Drosophila melanogaster: one gene and its partners. The gene in region 2 interacts genetically with the main gene of each other region. Each region holds a gene or a part of one and is shown on either strand. Other genes may lie near its edges. The genes, in order: br, Sb and Drak.

Evidence for each region.
Region 1: of Sb (region 2) and br, changing one enhances a phenotype caused by changing the other (phenotypic enhancement), as found in Drosophila melanogaster (one study listed by BioGRID).
Region 3: of Sb (region 2) and Drak, changing one enhances a phenotype caused by changing the other (phenotypic enhancement), as found in Drosophila melanogaster (one study listed by BioGRID).

Annotation. Positions count from the first base shown.
Region 1 is NC_004354.4:1,609,365-1,617,388, reverse strand, and holds the start of br (broad), read right to left. Parts: upstream 5,049-8,024; 5' UTR 4,586-5,048; intron 3,733-4,585; exon of another isoform or gene 3,444-3,732; intron 1-3,443.
Region 2 is NT_033777.3:16,113,094-16,121,362, reverse strand, and holds the start of Sb (stubble), read right to left. Parts: upstream 5,203-8,269; 5' UTR 4,804-5,202; intron 1-4,803. UniProt on the Drosophila melanogaster protein: Hormone dependent protease required for epithelial morphogenesis, including the formation of bristles, legs, and wings.
Region 3 is NC_004354.4:11,489,335-11,497,149, reverse strand, and holds the start of Drak (Death-associated protein kinase related), read right to left. Parts: upstream 4,016-7,815; 5' UTR 3,285-4,015; coding exon 3,151-3,284; intron 1-3,150. Other genes in the region: CG33235 (uncharacterized protein), read left to right, coding at 5,627-7,815.

The DNA of each region.
Region 1 (8,024 bases), on a different chromosome or scaffold from region 2:
CACACATACACTCGCGATCAATTGACACACATACATGCACACAAACGCACGCTGCAATGTATTAGCATTTCTCATCAAAAAGCTGCTCTCTGCCGACGTCGCCGTCGCTGTCGACATCGCCGCCGAGGTTAAGAAACTTTTGGGGTTTAATAACATTGCACAAGGTTATTAGATAAAAAATGTGCTCGCCGCAACCACGAGAGAGAGAGCTAGGGCTCCCCCCTCTCGTTCAACCGTTCTCCCAATCACCCGTTCTCCCGCTCTCTTCCCCTTCCTGTTACCATATCGCCATTCGCAATCCCCTTCCAGTACCCTACTCTCTGTTCGGCTGGAATCGTATCTGATCGGATCGCCTCGTGTGTGCGAATTTCCAACGGGAAGAAGAAGCGTGGGGGCTGAAAAGGGGTGCCACAGGGGGCATTATTTTTAGGCCCTGCATACACACATCACACACACACACATTTTTGTGTTTCCCAAGTTTTGTGTATTTTTCGGGACTGGCAAATTTCTTGGCCGTTGATCTTTGCCGTTCTTGCTGCTTCTTCCTTCTGTGGATACCGAATGTCAATGCATTGTTGGTTGCGAATGTGTGTGTGCTCGAGTGCGTGTGTTTGTGGGGGTACAATGCGCATCTGGCTTACCAAGTGTACACATTTATTTTTTGTGCCCATTATTCGCAGCGCTGTTTTACCCGACTCTTCTTTTTTTTCACTATGCGAACAGTCTGCAGTCTGCAGTCTGCAAAGGGGTGATCAATGTCCAGAGGAGAGGGATAGCCATGGGGTTAGGTCGCTTACCATCACAGTCACGGCCATTGTCACTGTTTATCACATTTACCGTTAAGCACCCGGTCTCGGGTTACCCGTTGCTTGCATAGCCCGAAAAAAGAAAAGTCCCATCTACAACGGTTTAGGGTTTATAAGATATAAGACGACCCTCGATGTCTCGCCTGTGTCTCCCAAGTCCCCCGTCCAACTTCAAATGAAAGCTGAGAACCTCTTCGCTTGAAAAAGTACACAGTAGAAGAACAAGAAGCACAAGTGAAAAACACAAAACTGTCAACGAAAGTGCAGGAAATAAACGAAAAAATTAACCAGCGATCCGACCGTTGGCAGTGCATCGAAGAAGAAGCCCAACCCATTCCCATACACATGACCATACCCCTACCCATTTCCAATCCCATTCCCCGTGACGTCCTAGTACCCCACAACTATGAACATGACACTCATGACCAACTGACTGACTGAGCAAGCCGAGCAGGAAGAAGCAGCAGGGAAAGCGCAGAGCAGAAGAAAGGGGAGTTGCAGTGCTAAGTGCAGAAGAAAACAAAGTGAAGAATTGTGCACTCCGAACGAGAATTGCTCTGGGATAAGGAAATGTATTGTTCAAAAGTAATTAAATGACGTATGTACTTTTAGGACTAAAAATCCTACTCATAAAATAGTAAGAAATGATTTCTTCAAGATGCTTTAAAAATTACTCCAAATTTGAGATTAAGTATTTTCAAAATCTTTGGCGTACTTGTCTTCCATCTTCAATTGGCTGTCTCCTGTGCCGGGGCAGAAATAGAAACATCGCGAATGAAGCAGAGGCAGGTCGCAGAAGAAAGGAGAATTGAGAATTGAGCGCGGAGAATCGAGAACGGAGAACGAAGAACGCGAGGGTGACAGAGACAGAGGCAGAGGCAAAAGGGGAAAACTGGAGAAGAGTTATCTCCTAGCCTTTGTGCCTGTCCCATTTGTTTGTCTATCCGGCTTTTGGCCTTGGAGTAACCGTTTCCGAGAACTTGGGAACTCGCCTATATGTATGTCCATGTGTCTATATGTCTATAGCGATAACTATGCACTTTGTATGTCCCTGTCCTCGTCTGTTGGCTCTTCGCATTCGCGTTTGTGTCTGATGTTTTCTGTGTTTATTTTGCAACTCCTCGACTCACCGCTCGCAATTTGCGGCGGCCTTGAATGACACGATCATTACGCTGATCGTGCTCATCATGATCATCATCGTGATCCCTATTTGTTACTGCGACGGATGCATTTGTGGCTGCTGTTGCACCCAAACAAGTGCTCCGTTGCTAGAACATGAGTCATGTGAGTGTGAGTGGAGAGCTGGCAACTGAAACTCTGGGGAGCTGCTGCTGCTCGTCTGCGTGCTTTGTCCACTTGTGGCGATGCGGCTCTCAATTGGCCGCAGTTTCCAGTTGATTCCAGTTGATTGGGCTTCAAGGCTAACGGAAGTGCTACTGGTTGCTAGTCTGTTGTGCAGTTTCTCTAACTGCCCGCTTCTGTCTCTGAGCCTCTGATTACCACTAGCCCCAAGTGGGTCGCCCAGGCCGTTACCCCGGTTCGGATGTCCTTTTACTGTTGCTCCACTCATAAGCTTCCTGGAACTCAAGCTGGCACTGGAGTGGGCACTTGTGCCCTTGCCGCACTGCATTTGCAGCATTTACAATCTGTGGCAGCAACAATTGCAGTGCGGCAACAACAAGTTATGCGCCGACAACCTTGAATGTCGGCCAGTCGCACACAGATGGCTAGCACGCACACGCAGACATCCTAATACACAGACACTGACACAGGCACAGGCACAGACACAGTACGCAGACAGCGTCTAGTCGGGGCCACCACTTTGGCGAGTCTCCTCCATCTCCATCTCCTCCGTCTCCTCTGTCTCCGCCGCCTCTGTTTTCCTAGCATCCAGCTATCCGACAGCCACCAGCCACCACATTCGCATCCCGAGCTTCACAGCACGTCCCACGTGTGTTCCCCACACCCCCAGCCCCTCCTGGCTCTGACTGTGGCTCTGGCTGTGGCGTAGTCTGGCTGCGTCTCTAGTTTCTGTCGTTTTATGCTTTTTTCGCTCTTCCTTTTTGCTAGGCACGCTTCGTTGGCTGCCTGCAATTTTCATTCAGTTTTTCTCTCGTCGCGCGACTTTCCCACCCCGCCCCCACCGCTTCTTTTCCTCCTCTTCCTCGCGTTGCAGGAATGCAGAAAAATGTGTTAGTGGAGTAGTTGCCATTACGTCACCTTGCTGTGACTGTGCCTGTGCCCATGTCCGTGTGAGTGCGCCAGTGTGCGAGTGTATGGGTGCCGGTCTTTGTGGCTTGCAGATGGGGAATGGGAATGGCTGATGATGGTTGTGGATGGGGATAGAAATGGGGACGGCGGAGTGTTGTTGTCGTTTGAGTGACTCGTCTGGGTCTCGGTCTGGGTCTGGGTCGCCCTAACAACTGGGAGAACAAAAAGAAGAAGCTGGCGTTACCACCTTTCCTACAGATCGGTGGGTGGAGCAGGAGAAGCAGCAGGAGTAGTGGGGACCCTGTCACCAAACCGCTTGACTGCGTGCCTGTCTGGCCATTTGAGTCTCGCTGTTGGCCCAGTTCCAGAAGCAAACCCATTGAAAGCAAAAGTTTCAGAAACACCACCGCTCCTCACGTGACTTACCTGCCGTAGAGCTAATCCTGAGATTGATTCCTGAGACCGATTGCGATCGAAATAGAATCAGCAAAAGCCTGAGTGGGTTGCTAAAAGGATACTATGTATATAACGAGAAACATCAACAGAAAAAAAAATATAAACGCAACGAAAACAAAATTGGCGTGGAAGCAAGCTGCTTGCGGATGTGCAGATATACAGATATGCGGATATGCGGATGCCGATATTATGTGAACTTGCGAATTCAGCGCGACTTGCACTTTGCGCGAGCGATTTACGGTACTCAGTTTGCAGTTTGCAATTCGCAATTGGCGATGAGCTGCCACACGACGTTTGCTCAGTGCGACGCTGAACAGCAAACTGCAGTTCCGCCGTTTCGGGCTGGCTTTCGATCGTTCCCGAACCCTGCCCAACCGGCCTTCGTGTTCGGCCGAGTGCAGATCCTCAGCTGCCTTCGCCTTGGCCGTGAGCTTCACGAAGCCTCAGTCTGACTGACAGACTGCAGCCGAAAAAGCGAGGAGTGGCGGGTAGCGGACAAGTGGGGAAGTGGGGAAGTGGGGAAGTGTGGAAGTGTAGAAGTGGAACAATGCAGCGCAGAGTCCAGGGGTGGAGAAGCTGAAACGGGGCTGAAAGAGGCGACTGAGGCTACTGTGCTGCCCTGCTTCCTGCAGTGCATCTGTATCTGTAACAGTATATGTGTCTGTATCTGTATATGTATATGTAGCTGCATCTGTATCTGTATCTGTATCCGTACACTCTGTGCGTCTTTGTGTGCCTTTGTATGCAGATGCACCGAAATTTTTGGACAGTTCGAAGGGAGGGGTCTAGGCCCGGTCCGTCCGCTTTTGTGACTCTTCATCAAAGTGCTAATGAGGAGAGCCGAGCCCAAAGGCAGAGAGGGAGAGAGCAGGCAGCTGCATCGGATGACTCAAATGTCCTTCTTATGGATCGGGCCACGAATCCGAATCAAATTTCAGTGTGTATCTGTACCTGCAACCGTGTGTGAGAATATGGATGTGTGTGTGTGTGTATGTCGATATAGATCTGGATGCTAGGCTCCCTCTGCCCCTAGATCAAGGAGCTTCCAGCACGTTCGGTTTGCCCTACAAAGCAAAGCGGATGGGGTCGGATGGGATGTAGGAAACCCTTACCTGGATGGTGCGGTTGTAGTTGCGCTCAGTAGGTGCATCCTTGCTCATGGCGGCGCTTCATTGGGTCGACTACTTGGGGATGCACACTGATTATTCACTTGAACTTTTGGGGCTTTGGGTTTTTGGGGTTGGCTTTCGCTTTTTCCGCTCCTGATTCTGCGATTCAGTGATTTAGCTATTCTTGGATTCTTAGATTCTTTTGATTCAAAACGCGCGCGAATCGCGCACTAGATGGTTTGCGTCCTTTGGTCTTTGCTTGGGTGCACTTGACAAAAAACACAAAAAAATAGAACAGAGGGAATTGTCCAGTCCTCGTGTGTGTGTTGGATACTGCTGTGGTGCGTTGGTGCGGTGGTGCGAGGGTAGGCGTGGGGTGGGCACTAATGCTATTCAATTCGGGCTCAAACTTAGAAATGGAAATTGAAATTGTGCGTTTAGGCTGAACTAACTTTAGTAACTGAACCGATCGAATTAAAAAGCTCAACTGAGTTCCGAAAAAATGCAGTTAAATGTGTTGGGCTTGTGCCGCTGCCCTCTGCCAGTGTGCGTGTGTATTGGTGTGTGCGCGAGTGTGTGCGTCTGCCCAATTGAATCAGAGAATTCGCTGTGCACCAGTGTTTGTGATATATATGTGTGTGTGTGTATATACTTATGCCGCCTGTATGTTTCATTCGCTTTTTTCGCTTCTTGCTTTTTACTTTTTACTTTTTGCCTTATTTGCTCGCTTTTTTGTTATATACTTCTCGTGTGCGATTGTGTGTTTCCTTCGCTTTTTTGGAGTGCAGCGACGTCGACGGCGGCGGCAGCGGCAGCAGTGCGATCTGCGATCTGCGATCTGCGTTCTGCGATCAACTCGATCCGATCGCTGCAGTTTACAGCGCTGCCTGCAGCGCAGTCGCCAAAAAAACGAGCAAATTTTCTGCGCATGCGACGGCGGCGAAGCCGAGCAAGCGAAAATTGCGTTTTTTTCGGGGGTTCCATGTGTGTGGTTGTGGTTTTTTTATTATTTTTTTTTCTGCTGTCCGTATATTCTGTTGTGTTTTCTGGTATTGCCCATTTAGAAGTTTTGTTTATTCATTGTCAGGCCGACAAAATTGGGGGAAATGAAATGCAAAGTCGTCGGCGAGCGAACGAATCAACGAGCGCCGCCCACACACCGATGCAATTACAAACGCGAATGTTTGGGGCAGATCCGCAGATCGGCAGCGGCAAATTGTAAATAGAGTGATATGGAGCGAGAGGGGTAAGGGGAATGGGAACGGGTAGGGGAATATGCAACTTTCCCCCTATGTAACTCCAAAGATACAGAAAGCGGTACATACGCACACAAAGTCGGCGGCGATCGGAGCGTTTTTTTTTTTAGGCAGAATATCGTCGTGCGTCTTCGGCTCGGAATTGCCCGATTTCACGACCCGCCTGTACCCCCTTCCCACCATACCCCCACAGAGGGTTCCAATTGAAAGTGTAGCCCACATTTCGAGCCCCATCCCAAACGCAAACCCAAATCCAAAGTCGGCCTGTTTTTAGGGCCTTCCCCTGCCTTCCCTCCCTTGCGTCACCCTTTGGAATTGCATTTTCTGCTGATGTTGGTGAAGAGTTGTTTAATATTTTGGTTACCATTACCATTACCATTACCGCATTTTATTACATGGCTCCCCTGTTTGCCATAACCCAGATTCCCATTTCCCTGCTCCCCCGCCCCACCTCCTGGCACGCACAAAGACTTAAGACCGAAGACTGCAGAGCGAAGATTTGCTGGCCCTGAGGAGAAACTGAGCGACTGAGTCTGAGAAACTTGTTGCCACTTGCATCTTGTTTGCCAGTTTTTTTTTTTGTCCGAATTTAATTGTTTTTGCAGCGTTTTTATTTTACTGCTGCATCCCCTTGTTGTTGTCGCCGATATTTTTATGAGCTGTTTTTGGTTTTTTTATTTTTTAGATTCATGCGTGGCGATTTTGGTTTTTTAATTCTGCTGGTCTCGCACTCACGTTAGCATTTTTCAAGAATTGTCTTGAGTGTTGTTTTGTTAAGGTTTCCCTGTCTGCAGTGACCTCTTGCCGATTCATAAACGTATAAATGTATCTACACGTACCATATACACAACATTACCTACGTACCCATAATGCCTTTATTGCTGCGTCTCGTTCGGTTTATGGTTGTTTCAAGATCATCGCAAATGTCACCGAGTCACAGATTAGCCAGAAAGAGGCGAGTCGCGCGGGCAGGGACCACTGTAGTCGCTCTAAGCTCCGCTCCTTTGTTGGGTCTCCGGTTTCGGGTTGGGTGCTTTGCAATTACAACCGGCATTAACCTCTAGGCGGCGCAAACGGAGTCGCAGGCAGCCAACAACCTCGACAACAACCTGACGGCGTAGACGCCGACGTCGAAGGCAGAAGGCAGAAAACAGCGACTGCGAAGGCGAAATGATCACATTGAACTTGTCGATGTCGTTTGTTCTAATTGAAACTGCAGTGGGTTAGTCACCCGCAGTCACTCGCTCCCGCTCACGCACTGGCCATCTCCATCCGCCGACGTCGATCTCTCTTCGCCTGCATATCGGGCGTATACGTAATACGCGAGGAGGTCAACGACGGAACCGCCAGCGATATAGATGGGGCGCGAGCGAGAGAGAGAGTGAGAATTAGAGACTGCCCTCGCCAGCCGTGAAACACCAGTGTTTACACGAGAAGCGCTTTGATCAAGTTCAACGCCCGCGATCCAGTCGATCCAGTGCCATTTCGGAATACAAAATACAAAATACGAATGCGAATGCGAATACGAATACGAATCCGAAATGACTGGGGAATGTGCGATCAGAGCGCGGAGGAAGTGCAGCAAATCTAAATAATGGGTTTGGGAAAGATCCCGTATCTGGCACACGAAGATAGTCAAGTGCACGAGGTCGTAAACAATATCGGCATACAATATTTTCCTAGCTTCCTCTTCGTGAAAATTACAAATACCATAGGATACCATTGGCAATGCCAACTATATGATGTATCGTACAAGTTTGCCATCGATTGGAATATATATACATATATGAAAACTCGAGGTGTTTTTAAATGCTTAGCATTGAATTCAGCGTACAAATATTTGGTTATCTACGTATATATATTATATATGTACCAGAAAATGGGATATACCGCGAAACACTGGTTTCGAATATGATTTGGAAGGGAAGCACATTGGTGGTGGAATTGATCAATACATAAACAAAGACCCTTTGATGGAAAAATCCAACCTGCATCCGTACTTTCAGATTAAGCAGCAGTACATGTACTGCCACAATAAATACCGAATCCACTAAAATGAGCACACTTACATGTCTGAATTTTCGGCTGAGTCAGGTGCATGGGATCCCCTAGAGCTGCTCTGGATTCCGGTGGGTGATCCGACTCTGGCTGAGATCCTGGAACTCCGCACGCCACACACTCTCACT
Region 2 (8,269 bases):
CTGGGCAATTAGCCGAGTGAAATTCAACACTCGCCAGTGGTACCATTGTCCAAATGGGGCTGGGTTTGGCCAGGTGATTTGGTCATCGGGCGAATGCCTTTCGGAAAAGTGGATGCAGGCCAATTTACTTGATCACCCGTTTCCTGTTTCGCATATTTCGGATATTCTAGGGGTTGCAAAATGAGATTAAATATTTTGGCTGGTACTATAACTTGTCTCCGAATAAAGATTTTGCAGATCAATGAAATACAAGCTTAATAGAACAGAACTGAGTGCAATATTGTAAGTCTGCACTTAATATTTCATAGTGAAATTCCCTTTAATTATATAAGGAAAAAACTAAATTCTTTAAACTTCCTAATCTTCAAAGGCATGAATAACTTTTCCAAGAAGTCCCTTGAAATGCAACTTGCTTCTCAGTAAAACGTGAACACAGTCGCATCCCAACTAACTTGGCAATGGCAACAACTTCATTTGCCGCTGCGGCTGGCATCTATTTTTATTAGCCAGGCAATTTGGCCAAAGGCAACAGGAAAAATAATAAAATAAGTCTGCGACGAGAAGATGCGAAGGAAGGAGTCTATGCCGGATGATGGCAAGACCTCAATCCCAGAAAACCCAACCGTTGGGACACAAAAAAAAAAAAAAATAAGTAAAACGGTTTCTGGAGAGACACCTGTCATGAGAGCCTCTTAACAACGGCCATCAGCGGAGGCAGCAACACCTCTATTCAAATAAGCCACAGACTCAGATTTAGGATCGCGTCCGTATCGGTGTCGCCACTTGTCGAGTGGACTCGCCGTGGACTTTAGTGGTTCGCAGCAGTCTGTGGTCCATGTTACATGGTCCGTTGTATTTTGTCTGGGCCATGCGTGGTCCCATTTCCCAGCGAAAACCACTCGCGGTTGACCCAATGCTAAGCGGGCTAAGTTGGACAATGGCCCACAGCGCAGTTTAACGGATGCTTCCTCATCGTCGTTGCGGTGAAGAACATAAAGGGTGGAACGGGTCTGGAGGCATGTTGCTCCATGGATCGCGGATCGCGGATCGCCACTCGAACTCGTTCCGCGGAAACGTGTTTGCTGTTTGCAGTTTGGTGCCTGGTTGACCACCACACGAGCGACCAGGCCAGGCCAACCAAGTCCAAGTCGCGTCTTGGACCAGTTGCATATGGCCGGCCAGTTGGGTTGTGCCCCGAAGTGTGGCCACAAATCGAATTGTTGTTAATTAATAACAGCGAAACACCTTTGTCTGTGCCCCATTCTCAGTTGCCTACCCCCCGCCCCCAATCCCCCTTGCTGCCACAAACAGGTGCTCCTAATTTGGGGTGGCGCCCCAATGTTGACGCCCTTTTCTGGCTCGGTTTCGGTTGCGAATTACTGGCGGCCAGCTTGTTAGCATGGACTTTTGGCCACAAAGTCCAGTTAGCCAAGCACTCCCAGTCGCGCAAATTCTATCGCCATCTCTCTCCCCGGTTAATTTGTGGCATAACTCGTTTCGTAATTGAGAATTACATTAGATTCGTGACGAGTGCGTGCAACAGAACTAGTTCCACCAGCAGCTACTATTGAGTCATTTGCCAGCACAGAAAAGAAAACAAGAAAGACGGTAGTTGGGCGGTATCGAAAAATCTAATACCTTGTACTAGCATGCATATAAAAATAAATTGTTTGCACAATTATTGACTCCATGTATATATATACACAAGAGAAAGCGCTGTTTTGGGAATCATTTGTTGTTACAGAAGCATTTAAAATATTTGTCCCGAAGTTACCTCTACTAGGGTATGTCATAGTCGTGGCTACCAATTTGGCCAAGATGAGCCGAGCGTATGCCAATACTTTTACGTGTACCTGGTGCTCTCCATTCCTTCTGATGATCAACGGCTGATAGTCGGTACCCAAACATATCTATATTTTATTGCACGCAATTTCCTTTCAGCTCAATTCGTTTGCCAAATCATTTCCCCAGTTCTAGGCAAAGATTTTGAGTGCTCCTCCAGCCGCTCCTGAAGATAATCAGCGTTCGTAGAGGAGCCTGAGCTACCAAAACGAGCTACCTGATTGCCCCTGGAGTGAGAGTGCGGAATGGAATGATAGCTAAGTGCCAAGTGGATCTCGCTCTGTGTGGGTATTAGCTTGGGTAATCGGAGATGGGGCGCAGCCCTCTTAGGAGGAGGGGAACTATGGCAAAATGGAACAGCAGAAAGGTTGATAGAAGCTGCCGATCGGAGATAATGAGGGCCTGAAGGATACAACGCCATATAACGCAGATAGGTATAAGATCTGATTAGATGCAAGGGTTTCAAAGAAGCCTCCTATGTAAGGTGCCTAATGGTAAATGTATTTGTAATAAGAAAAAGGTGTTACTAATGTCGAATGTAAAAGTAGTAAAAACTGCTGACAAGGCAACTTATACCGCATCGCATTGAAAACATTCCGACATTTTCATCTTGGTTTCCTACCGCAAAGTGGAAGAAGGCAGTGGTTTGCAAATCAAATCGTATATAAAATCATCCATCAATGGACAGCTAACACTATCGGTTTGAACTTCCTGTGTGCCAGTGGCTTTATCTAGCTGCATCCACCACCCTAGCCACCTTTATTACGGCTAACCACTGGCCACTTGGATATGGGCCGCCAATTGATTCCATTGCTAATGACTGCTAACGGTTCCACAGACACTTGCCGCAGCTTCGATTGCGGCTGAGGAAAGGAAGCCAGCGGTTACCGCTGCAACGCCCAAGTCGCCGGGAGCCTCTGCCATCCACAGATCTCGACGCACTTCACCTGCGGCACAGTGAGAACGATCGGGAAGGATCACTGATTGCTCAAATTATTATTGATCGGTTGTAAGAAATATTTGATGATCATATAAAAGAATAAGAATTACTTTGAACTACTAGCTAATTAAAAAAAAAATTAATTAAACTAGTTGGATTCCCAATTACTCAACAAAATACACAAAATAGGAAGTAGGATTAGCCAACGCTGCGTATGAGTAATAAAAATAGTTCTGATTCTTCAGTGAGATTCCCCTGGGACAAACATTTACATTCCCTATCTAACTTCACCTGTTCTATCAAATCCCTTTTAAGATCCTCCTTCTCGAGGCCCCACTGTCGCTGGGCAGCAGCACGTTTGCGTGTGGCTTCCGCGGCCGCCCGTCCAAGATTGATTGGGCACTCGTTTATTGTCAGTGGAGCTGGGCTTATCGCATCAGTGCAATTTGTTTGCGCCGCTGCTGCTGGCGGTGGTGCAGATTCCCCTCAACGAGAGGTGCTGGCGCAACAAGTGGGTTTGTGGCCGGACACCTGCGACCGCCCCTTTTGCCTCACAGAGAGCAAAGGGGTAAGGATGAAGGACGGTGTAGGGTGTCCTCCACTGCCAATGGACTCGCACGCAACGAGGCTTAATGACCCCGCAAGCCTTAATTAAGGCCCAAACTAAAACACTTTGATTGATTTACGCTTGCCAACTAACTGCCCGAGGACAGGGACAGTGATATGGGGATGGCCACAATTAAGAGAGCGGTGGGGATGGAAAACGAATCCGGCTTCTTGCATAATTACCCCGTAAGACTCAATTAACTGTAAATTAAAGAAAATGCTCGCTTACATTATGGCTGCACTTAATGTCGCGTGTGATAATGGTGCAGATCTTCTCTGGCACTCAGTGCGACTTTGCGAATCTACTCAAATTGGGTAGCCGAAGCGGAAGATACTTCAACCAACATGTGAACCCTTGTTGATATTTTTGACACTTGTATATATATTTGATATATACCTTTATTTACTCACATAATATCATTGATGAAAAGAAAATTTTTGGTTTTCTGATTTTGTGAAAACACTTCAAAATGTTTGAAGATGGCCCAACGTGTTGGAGATGGTTTTTGCATTTTAAAATTGCACTGCCAGCCGATTGGTAATTATACCCGTAGAAAGGGTACATTTTAAGATCATCGCAGAGTAAGAGCATTTTTTGTTGCTTTTGATGCTTTTGTTTTTTTGCTGCCACAGCGGCAATGCCACTGCCCACCCCCCGCGCTCTCACACATGGAATTAGAGCGGGTAAAAATGTACGAGGAGATAAAAGAGAGGCGAATTAAGTAACAAGGCACTTAACGTTAACACTTAACAAGGCAATGTCGTGGCTGTCTTGGCTGAGGCCTGAAACCTGCGCCATGCACCGTGCACGGGGAAGTTGGCCATAAAAGTTGGAGCTGGAACTTTGGCCGGGACGGGAAGCCGGAGGAACGAAATGCCATTAAGTGTCATTGCTCATTCCGGCGAAAGATTGATATCGGGCTTTAAATATGCGTACCGCGAAAGTATGGGATGGGATCGGATAGGATAGGATAGAATGGTACATCAACACTGTCACGGGGTCGCCAGAAATGTGAGTGACGATGGTGGTGACTGCAGATACCCGAAGTGCATGGCCAAACTTCCCATAAAAGCAGCAGGCGAAAGACATTCCGAACGGAAGCAACTGCCCTGTAATTACGTATTTTTCGAGGAATGAATTATATGCCTACAATTCACATACAGCATTCTCAGGGATAATCACTCTTTTATTTCAGCAAACATAAACCTTAAGTATGAACTCTTTTATAAGTGAAACTAAGCACCTATCATGACGAAATTGGTTCCTCTTTTTTGTATGCCAAAATGTTATAATAGAACTTTTGTAGCCTCAAAAGAATAGATTTGCATATATGTATGAAACACCTAACCGAAAACTATGATTGATTGCAGCTTTGCAAACTGAAGAACCGCAGAGCTGGCATCCAAATACATACCAAAAATCTGATCGCCAGGTGGGGCCGCCAAAGTTGGCCCAGAGTGAACTCCAAGCTGAGGCTGAGAGTGGCAGCCAAAGGCAGTTTGCGGTTAAAGCGGCTTATCACATTAGCACACTTCCAGACATCCAGACATCCAGACATCCAGACTTGCGGACTTACAGGCCTTTGAGCGAAGACAGAAAGACCCGAACGTGGCTAAAAGAGCCGCTGGAGAACCGTTAGCGATCGCGACATTCGCATCCTGCTTGGGATCCTTCGCACACACGCACACGTAGAACTGAACTGACTCAGATATATCTTCGTACTGGGTGGAGATGCTGCCGAGATATACGAGTACGAGTTCGAGTACCGGCCGGCTGCACTTAACTCTTCGCCTGGACGAGATCTTAACAAAACTAACTCGATCGCCATTGATCGGACGCATTTCAACTTAAAGTCAAGTGGAGAAGGCGCTGACGTCGAAGTCGACGGCGGCGTCCGCGTCGGCAGCGAACTGCATTCCCAAACCGAGTCGCGTTTTACTCACCAAATAAATAAGACAGAAACAGAAACAGAATGATACAAACACAAAAAACAATAAAAAAAAAAAAACTAAGCCAAACCGAACTGTGTGCAGAATTTATGGCTTGGGCTGTGGCCGTCCGGAGAAATGCTCTACAAGGCGGGCAGTCAATAGATCTTGGGTCTTCCCAATGAATCAATAGCTTTCCCGGAGCCACAAAATGAATATCGCTTGCGTAAGACAAAAGAAACTGGAGAAACCCGTCTGAATTCAAGATCAATCTAAAAGGTCCCAAAGAAAGTGGCGCTTGAGTGGGGGGACCAGACCACCCTATTCAAGAAGTGATGGAAAACTTAAGATCGCATACGGAAGATCTCGGGTAACAGTTGCTATTGTCTGCATTTGGAGGAAGAATTTAGAGATCTCATAGAAATCTTAGAATGCTTCTTTAATTATTTTAGAGATAATAATGCAAAAGTATTTAAAATTTTCAGCAATTTATTATGTCCTTTTTTTCTACTTTATAAAGTAGTAACTTATACAGGAAGCTCAATTGGCCCCGCAAATGATTCAAACAGCAGATTAAGGCCTCCTTCGCAATAATTCACAAAGGAAAACCTGAATGAATTCCATCCACGTCATAACTCCAATACTTTGTGTTGATCCTCCGTTGACATTATTTATGGAAGCTCTTAGAAAACCGAGGAGCCCAAAATACCTCCATGTAGCGCACAACAAAGTGTGGAAGAAAAGCAACGTTCTGCGGTGCTGCTCATTTTGTGTGGTTGCATGGCTGTGTTGCAGATGGAGCAGGTGGAGCAGTGGCAGGGGCAGGGGCATGGGCAAGAGCAACGGGGCAGCAGCACAATCGAGTTTCCACCAATGTGAATTAAATAGTTGGCCGAAAGAGAGGCGACAGAGAGCTCAAATTCCGCTAAAAACGCAGCAAATCCCAGACGATGGCCACAAAGTAATGGAAATATTGAGAATTCCTTAGCCGCCACTTCGACGGGGTCTCCATCTCGGTTAGAGTCTGGGTCTGAGTCTTGGATGTGGCATAGCCGTAACTCAAACCGACCATTAGAAACGAACATTAGCAGAAGACGTCTAAGAGCTGCAAATGCTGCAAAGGAAAAAGAACTAACGAACCTTGACAATTAAGTTTGCGCCACTCTGCCAAACCCAATTGGAATTCAATGTGCATGCAATGGCAGAGGCAGAAGCAGAAGCAGAAGCAGCAGATGCAGCCAGCAGGGATACCGAGATGGAGGAGGATGCGACTCAGACGGAGCAGGAGGTGCATCTGACGTTGATGATGCTCCCCGGCCTCCTCATCGAACCGAAGCCGAAGTCGACAGTCGCACAAAAACCCATACTCCATACCCCCAAACTCCAAGCTAAAAACGCCAAACTCCCGACTGGAGTCGCTTCGCTGTCTGTCGCTTGCTAATTCCCCAACAAATGTTTGCTGTTGCTTTGCTGTTGGCGGCTTCTGCAACATGTGTTGCAACAAATCGGCAAGCGACTGCAGCTGGAAAGTCGCGTGATGATGCGCCAAGTGGAGAGGAAAAATCTCGTTAAAGGTCGTGTCACAAATTCTGCAGCACTCAGAGGCGAAAAGGGGACAACGCCAAGTGCCAAAAAGCAGAAACAACAACAACATCAGTAGCTAGTTGCAACAAAGGCTGCAGCAGCAGCAGCAACGGCAATAGCAGATGCAAACTCGTGCCGCTGCTAACACAATAAATTTTCTCTTTCAGCCCGGGCGAATCTGGCGTTGAACTGCGTACATGGGTGGCCAAGTGATGCTCCTCCTCAGGCTCCACTTGCTGCCTCTCTTGGACGACAGTAAATGGCTACAGAAACAATCTGAATAAATTTGTCGCTAACTCTGGAGTTAGTGGTCCACGGGAGCGGGTGGAAAATTTATGAACCCGTTGATAGGCTGATGGAGATCTTTCCGGGAAATATTTTGATGGGACGTTGTGTTGGCCGTGGTCGGATTAACCTATTGAGTAATTTATAGCAGTGGGTGTGGATTAAAGATTTCGCAATGTATTTGTAGTTAATTTATTTGAATTTCAGTTTCTTATCTCTAATTTGCAAATCGTTTATTTAATCTCTATGGTTTTCTTAATATATACATACCTCACCATATGCGGACTACCATACGCTGTTAAGTTCATTGAATTAACCTTTTTCCTGTCATTACGCCTTTAAAATAATAAGCAGGCCTTATCTATGGGCTAGCTAATAATACCAGGACGGAACCTAACACAGTCTTGGCTTTTAATAGCCCACCATTTAATGTAAGCCATTTCGTTTGATTTCAGCTTTGAATCAACCCCACCCATCAATATTATCCTTAATACAGTGCAAATTCCGCCTTAAGTACTTGCCATTAAGCATCATTGCAGTAACTTTGTCTTGGCCATAACTCGGCACCGAGTACCCCCATCGGGGTCTTTAATCTCCCGCGGTCCGGCTGCCGTCAACCGGGCCCCATCCTCCAGACTTTCCACGTCCGCAGCTTCATGCGTGACCCCGATTCTCACAAGACTGGAAATGTGTCGGATTGGGAGGTGGGGATCTGTTTGGATCGGGATTGGGTTAGGGATATGGATGGGCTGCGATAAGCGATCACGGAATGAGGGATAACTGGTCGGTTAATGAATGGGTTCGCAATAATTGATGCCACTTTAAATTGGCCAAATGTTGATGGCCCGGCTGTGGCTGCGAGAACAGCCGAGAACAGGAAGGGAAAGTTGGCCAAGGGACTGGAGGCTGTCCCATCGCAGCGAGTGTTGCAGGTGATACTGGGACATGGAGCTGGAGTGATATTTCAACCTTTCTCCCGCTACCCAAAAGCGAAAACATTTTGCGAACGTGATTGGGGATGTGGATGTTTGGACATTGCCTTTTAATCAAGCCCACATTGCGAGCCAAGTGATTTTATGCCTT
Region 3 (7,815 bases), on a different chromosome or scaffold from region 2:
AAAAGTTATAAGAAACATTGTGTATGTGCGTCGCCCAATTGGCCAATATTTTTTGGCATTTCGACTTGCAGAAATCAGGAATCCCCCCGCGATACACCAAACCCCCCTCGCCAACCCACCATTATTTCCCATTCGCATTGATTGACGGCTTGCAATTGTCAAATGTTTCCATTTTGGCAAGTTTCTTATATTCCACTGGTCGGTCATTAGGGTTAAACATTGTGACATAGGGGGGTTAATTTAAATAAATTGCATGTGTTGCGCGATTAGCAACTTCATTTCAATTTGTATGTAAGACACTTTCTGTGCCTAATTATATTATATTATATTAAATTGAATAGTAAATCTGTCACAACAAAAGTTAGAGCTTAACTTGTACCGTTTTCTCTACTGTTGCAACACTTTTAGCCAAATCCCAATTCTGCGGAAGATTTTAATGATATTTATGGCACTGCAAACGAGCGGTACAAAAAAAAAAGTTCCCCTCCATTAAATCACCTTCCGCCCCTCGTTTTCCTTATCTTTTTGCGACTGATAAAAAATTAAAGCTTTTTTGTAGCCAAAAGAAGGCATTTCTTCGGCGAAACGTTTAATAATGATGCGTTGATAAAGCAGCAAACGACCCAAAAAAAAAAAAACACAACAAGAAATATTAAGTATAAGGTATAATGTATATAAGAATGAATTCAACAAAGTGAAGACAAAACGTGAAACGAAAGCAAACGCAGCAGCAACAAGTTGGTATTGAGCGAATACGGAACCAGAGAATCATGAGAAACCAAAACGAAATGGCCAACAAAAGAAAAGGTGAAAAAGGAGCACTATTGCCAAGGAAAAATTAAACCCGTCTGCAGAAGAACATTTAGTTCTGCTAAATAAGGCAATTTTGGCAAACGGAATTCCAAGGGAGAATAAAATGAATATAAATTACGGACCAAAGAACTTACAACTTGAATGGAGAAAACACCATTATATGACATTATAAGTGTAAAGATACAAACCAAATGGTATTAAATAAATAAAACATTATTATAAAGGCACATTAGCAAAATCAAATCTGTTATAAAATAGAGAAATTTGAAGACTTCAAAGTGATCAGCAAAACAACAAATAGCAAAGCATAACATTTTACGAGAAAGTTGAATTTATTATAACAAATTTGAATCCATTAAATTTTTGGCAAACAACTAAATTAGAAAATTACAGTTAATTGTTGCGATCGCATTTCACATTAATGCGATATGTACGCCTCTAAAAATGTTTGTATTTTCGAAGCCACTTTTGTCAAATATTTCCTCCATCTCATATACGGTGGTTTACACTGCGCTTTTGTTTTTACAACAAACACCTCGGACAAACGGCTTCCTGATAAGAATTACGATTTGAGAACCACCATCGATAGATGTGACAGAAAAATTTTATTTCATACGCCTGACTGCTTACGAAACTCAAAAACATCGATTGGGATTTACGTTTTATTATTAATTTTCGTTTCGTTTTTTTGTAATTTTTTTGGCTGATAACAGAATGCTTATCAAGAATGGGGGGAATATGATGATAAATGGGGTACCGGGCAGCATGAAACCACGGAACGCTCGAAAGCAAACGACCTTCGTGGGGCGAAGAGGGGGTGTGGGTGTTGTGGTTGGCGGATTCTGAAGAACTTTAAAGAAACGATGAAATGCAAAACTAATAAGGCAAAAAAACACGGCTCAATGCGAAAAAAATATACAAATGTATATGTATATGATGAAAAAGGGTACAAAATGCAAATCTAGCTGAAAATAATGATAGTCAAAGGGCATTCGAGACAAGGAGAGCAATGCTTGGCAGAAAGAGATAGTGCTGTCCCAACCATATGGTGTGAGAGAGAGAGGGCCTAGAGAGGGACGTAGAAAGAGACGACGGTGCATGAGGGTCAGTTCGCCAGCAAACGGTAACAGCTGCTCTTTGGAGAAGTGAGAAAAAAGGGAGAAAATGCAGGGAGCAGAATGAGGAAGATGAATGGAGAGGGAGGTAGATGCGGAAGAGGGAAGCAGGCAAAGAAACTCAAGAAGAGGAAGAAGCAGAACGAGGTGCACAGTGGTTGTTGCACAAATCTAAAATTCCACATAATTAACTGAAGGGCAGAACCCTTGAAACGAAATCAGGTAAGTAAATAAAATGAATCTCTTGATACACACACAGTGCATAAGGACAATCGCGAAACTGACCATATTGTCAGCAAATTCGTATCTAAAAATGCGCATTTTTAAAGCGTACAAATTCAGAGCTATTTTCAAAACCAATTCGTACTGAATAGATACGTATTTGTTTACGAATCTTTCGATGTTCATAACAAAACCACTGTGCCGTTATCCACACAAAACTCTCTTTTTGTCTCCCGTTCACATGTGTGTGTTGAGTAGAAGCTCACACACACAGGCAAGTCGCAAGAAAGAAGAAAAAAGTAAATAAAACAAGTTTTGAGACGCAGAAGTTTTTCAGAAAAAATAAAACAGACTCGCCACTGACTTTCTTTAACATTTTTAGCTTTGTTTCGGTGGTTTTTGGATTCCGCTTTTATTTTTTATTGAATTTAGCAGCTGCATTCGCAAAAACAAGGAAAACAAATCTATTAAACGATGATAAATTCACTGATGTTAGGTGTGATTTTGTAGCAGTTACCTTCAATTGTGATCGCAAAGTATGTTTAGGTTGTAAAAACTTAGAAGATCATTTTCAATATGGTTATTTTTGGCATAACTATGCATAGAGACATGTATATTTATCTTGGATTACATTTCAAAATATTATGATACGAAAAAGAAACGATCGAGCTTAGTAAAACAAATAAGGCGATCAAGAAAAGATACACATATGTATAGATTTATGGTATTCAAGTACCTAAAACAAGTAAGTAAAACTCCTAGCTTAGAACTTTATAGTTAGTTACATATGTATATCTGCGGTATGGACTGTATCTATGGTTCTGACCAGAATTCCCCAAAAGAGCTAAATTATCTATATGGTTTCCTTTCTAACTGATTTTTTTTTGCAGTGTGGAGATGCAAAAATCTTGTTTTTGTGCTTCTTATTTTCGGTTGAATTTTTGGCAAGGGAAAAGGAGAATAATAGCGCGAAACTCAAAACAGAAAACTAAAAACTCACCTGGCAAACGGCGTCTGTTCCACTTCGTAGATCTCGTTGATGTCGGGACATGAGACGAGGAGTCCCTTCAGCCGATCGGCGTCCACATCCAAAAGTCCGTCGCCAATGGGAAAAATTCCCTTTTCGGTGAACATTTTGTGTGTGTGTGGGGGGGGATTGTGGTGTTTGTGTGTGTGTAGTGTGTTTGAAGATCGAATCTTCTTTCGATTTTTGGCTGTATTTAATCCTTCGTTTGATTGGCTTTTATTTTTTTTAATGGTAACTTGTTATTTCTTTGAGGGTCGAATCTCAACTGCACAGAACCAAAAAAAATTGTAGTTTAGTGATAAAAACACACGCTTCGATATAATGCAGCGGAATACGTTGCGCGCGGGAGAGCGACAGGGAGGGAGAAGGAGACCAGATTCCAGTACAACCCAAAAACAGCAAAAACAAAAAATCACACTAATGAATTAAAAGAAGTAAAGAAGCAAAAACTATGCAACTGCAACACACAGACACACGCGCGCAAAGAGAGGCCCGAAAAAATTCCCGCGTGTGTATGTATGTGTGATGCTGTTGCTGCTGGTTATGTTTTTGTTTTTGTTATTTTCGGTATTTCGCCAGTTAAGTACCGTTCTCTCCGAAGAACTCCGTCTCAGCTTCTCTTCTTCTTCTTCCTCCGCTTGCTCGTTTCAAAAAGGGTTTTATGCGAAAAAACGGCTCGCAGATTTTGGCCAGGCTTTATTCTTTTTTTTTGTGTGTTTCGCTTTGCGGAGGCACGGAGGTACAAGAAACTCGCAGCGGAGCAGCGCGCACGAACCGTTCGTTGGCGGATTGAAATTTCAATTACTCGCGTTCGCTTAAAGTGAACGCACACCATGAAAATAACTCTGCTGCTGGGGCCTGGTATTTCTTGCCAGTGTCTCTGGTCACTCTGTTGCCGGACGTTTAACGCTAGGCACTGTGAAAAATACCAGAAAATACCGAAAGTCTGTTAACAGCACTAGGTTTATAACAGTGCAGTTTTGTTTATAATTTAAGCTGAGAAAAGGCAGAAAAAGTAAAAATTAAATTTCGTTTCAGTAATAATAACTAATGTGAAACTAAGTAGACAGTTATATGAACACCATCTTACAAAAGTAGTTATATGACGTTTCCAATGTTAAGTTTGGTGGAAAGCACATGGTCACACTGCGGCCGATTCAAAGCGTGTTTTCAATTTACCAATTATTGTTATTTGGTGGAAACGTAATAAAGATATTATTTTTGGGATGCAATGTGCGTTTTGGGTGGCGCCTGTTATCGGGGCGTGTGGGCATAACACAGCCCGCAAATAGTTGGCACCTCGCGTCTTCATTGGATTCTCAATTTTAAATGTATATTTATATTTATGCTTGCTTGCAGTTCCCTGGCTTTTTCTCGCCCTGCAAATTTTCCCGCCTTGTTTTCCCACCGTTTGTGTGTAGGTGTGTGTGCTCCACTTGCAAGCCAGTGCACATTTCTCGTGCACTCTGAATCATTACTAAGATCTTAAATAAAGTTTAAGTATATATAGTTAAGTATAGTTAAATATAGAAAACTTTTTTTCTACATTTCAATCCCTCTCTCTGGAATAGACCTATTTTACACCACGCCATTTCTACTTTGTTTAAAAATCATAACTTTGCTAATTTCTTTCAGTGTAATTGGATTGGATGGGATATGCAGTGGATATGCGTTATGTTTGCATTTCTCGTGTGCGTTGCATATATTTTTGTCACCACGACGGCATCTCAGGAATGCGGAGCACCAGAAATAAACCAAGTGCAAAAACCTTTAGCATCCGTCTATTAATAATGTTGTCGTCTCCGGATCTGCTTAGGTTTTTTTTACAAAATGATTTTATTTTTCTTTTGGTCGGGCGGTGGATTTTCTTGCCACGAACTCGCCAAAAACTCCTCTTGGCAGCCATTCAAGTTTAGCAGATCCGGCTTTTGACCTAGGGAAAATGCTTGGCCACCGCGAAAATAGAAAATCGGATCGCGAGAAACCCCAAAAAATTGGGTGGAAATTTAACAAGCAGGAACGAAGTAGTTTCGTTTTAACGCATAATTTGGTGTTACAAATTACAATTGTTATTTATAAGGCAAACAACATTATCTTGTATACAATGTCCTGTTCATGTGTGAGCAGTATAATAGATCTGATATTTAACACATTGCATCGACTTTTATTCAAGTGGAAACAAAATATTTTATTTTGTATAATTCCCTTTATTGGATACAACCACAATTTAAAGTAACCCTTACACTTCGAAAGTGTGGATTTGACAGCTGAAAGTTGACATTTGGAGCTCATTCCCTGAATACATTCTCTTTTTAAAAAAGTCGTTCACCAGGTAACATCGTCACAGCGGATAAAATTATATAATTTTGTATATTATATTATTTCTTATTTCATCACAAGGAAACCAAATTACTTTTATCATTCGCATTGCCATATCGGAAAGATAACCATGAATTTCAGCAAGAAACTGCTTGGCGACAAGAACCTTGTCCGCCTGGATTCGGACGCGACAAGGACATTTTGCCCGCAAGTCTCTGAAGGCAGACTCACATTGGAGAATGTCATTTTCGATCGAGGGGGCAGCGTGACCACCAAGAAGCCTAGGAAGCGCCCGACGCCGAAGCCAGTGATTCGTAATTTCAATAATTTGAGTGTCCCGGAGGAAGTGGATGTGGACAATTTGCAAGGCCAGCGTAAGGGCGTAGCTGTCAATAGCAACAATGATGAAATGATGATTTCAAGCTCGGACAGCAGTGATTCCAGTGATGATTATAGTTCATTCGGAGATGATATATTCACTCCAGGCCCGGAGACCAGTGATACCAGCGATGGTGATAGTTCTTGCGAAGATGAATTAAAGATTCCAGACTTTAAAAGCAGTGCTACCAGCAAAGATGAGAAATTGATTCCAAGCTCAAAATGGAATTTTACTTTGACGAAGGACATTATTCCACCCGGAGAGGGAAAGAAATCTCATATCGGGGCCTCCTTGCCGGAGCCAGTGAATCGTAATTTCAATAATAAGAGTGTCCTGGACTTGCAAGGCCAGCGTAATCAAGGCAGCAGATTCGGTGCCCAGGGCGTAGCTGTCAATAGCAACAAAGATGAAATGATGATTTCAAGCTCGGACAGCAGTGATTCCAGTGATGATTATAGTTCATTCGGAGATGATATATTCACTCCAGGCCCGGAGACCAGTGATACCAGCGATGGTGATAGTTCTTGCGAAGATGAATTAAAGATTCCAGACTTTAAAAGCAGTGCTACCAGCAAAGATAAGAAAATGATTCCAAGCTCGAAAAGGAATTTTACTTTGACGAAGGACATTATTCCACCCGGAGAGGGAAAGAAATCTCATATCGGGGCCTCCTTGCCGGAGCCAGTGAATCGTAATTCCAATAATAAGAGTGTCCTGGATTTGCTAGGCCAACGTAATCAAGGCGTCAATAGCAACAAAGATGAATTAACAATTCTAAGCTCGGACACCAGTGATACCAGCAAAGAGGAGAAAATGATTCCAAGCTCTAAGAGGAATTTCTTTTTGACGAAGGACATTATTCCACCCGGAGAGGGAAAGAAATCTCATATCGGGGCCTCCTTGCCGGAGCCAGTGAATCGTAATTCCAATAGTAAGAGTGTCCTGGATTTGCTAGGCCAACGTAATCAAGGCGTCAATAGCAACAAAGATGAATTAACAATTCTAAGCTCGGACACCAGTGATACCAGCAAAGAGGAGAAAATGATTCCAAGCTCTAAGAGGAATTTCTTTTTGACGAAGGACAATATTCCACCCGGAGAGGGAAAGAAATCTCATATCGGGGCCTCCTTGCCGGAGCCAGTGGATCGTACTTCCAATAATAAGAGTGTCCTGGATTTGCAAGGCCAGCGTAATCAAGGTAGCAAAGATGAGAAAATGATTCCAAGCTCGAAAAGGAATTTCACTTTGACGAAGGACATTATTCCACCCGGAGAGGGAAAGAAATCTCATATCGGGGCCTCCTTGCCGGAGCCATTAAATCGTAATTCCAATAATAAGAGTGTCCTGGATTTGCAAGGCCAGCGTGATCAAGGTAGCAAAGATGAGAAAATGATTCCAAGCTCGAAAAGGAATTTCACTTTGACGAAGGACATTATTCCACCCGGAGAGGGAAAGAAATCTCATATCGGGGCCTCCTTGCCGGAGCCAGTAAATCGTAATTCCAATAATAAGAGTGTCCTGGATTTGCAAGGCCAGCGTGATCAAGGTAGCAAAGATGAGAAAATGATTCCAAGCTCGAAAAGGAATTTCACTTTGACGAAGGACATTGTTCCACCTGGAGAGGGAAAGAAGTCTCATATCGGGGCCTCCTTGCCGGAGCCAGTAAATCGTAATTCCAATAATAAGAGTGTCCTGGATTTGCAAGGCCAGCGTAATCAAGGTAGCAAAGATGAGAAAATGATTCCAAGCTCGAAAAGGAATTTCACTTTGACGAAGGACATTATTCCACCCGGAGAGGGAAAGAAATCTCATATCGGGGCCTCCTTGCCGGAGCCAGTGAATCGTAATTCCAATAATAAGAGTGTCCTGGATTTGCAAGGCCAGCGTAATCAAGGTAGCAAAGATGAGAAAATGATTCCAAGCTCGAAAAGGAATTTCAC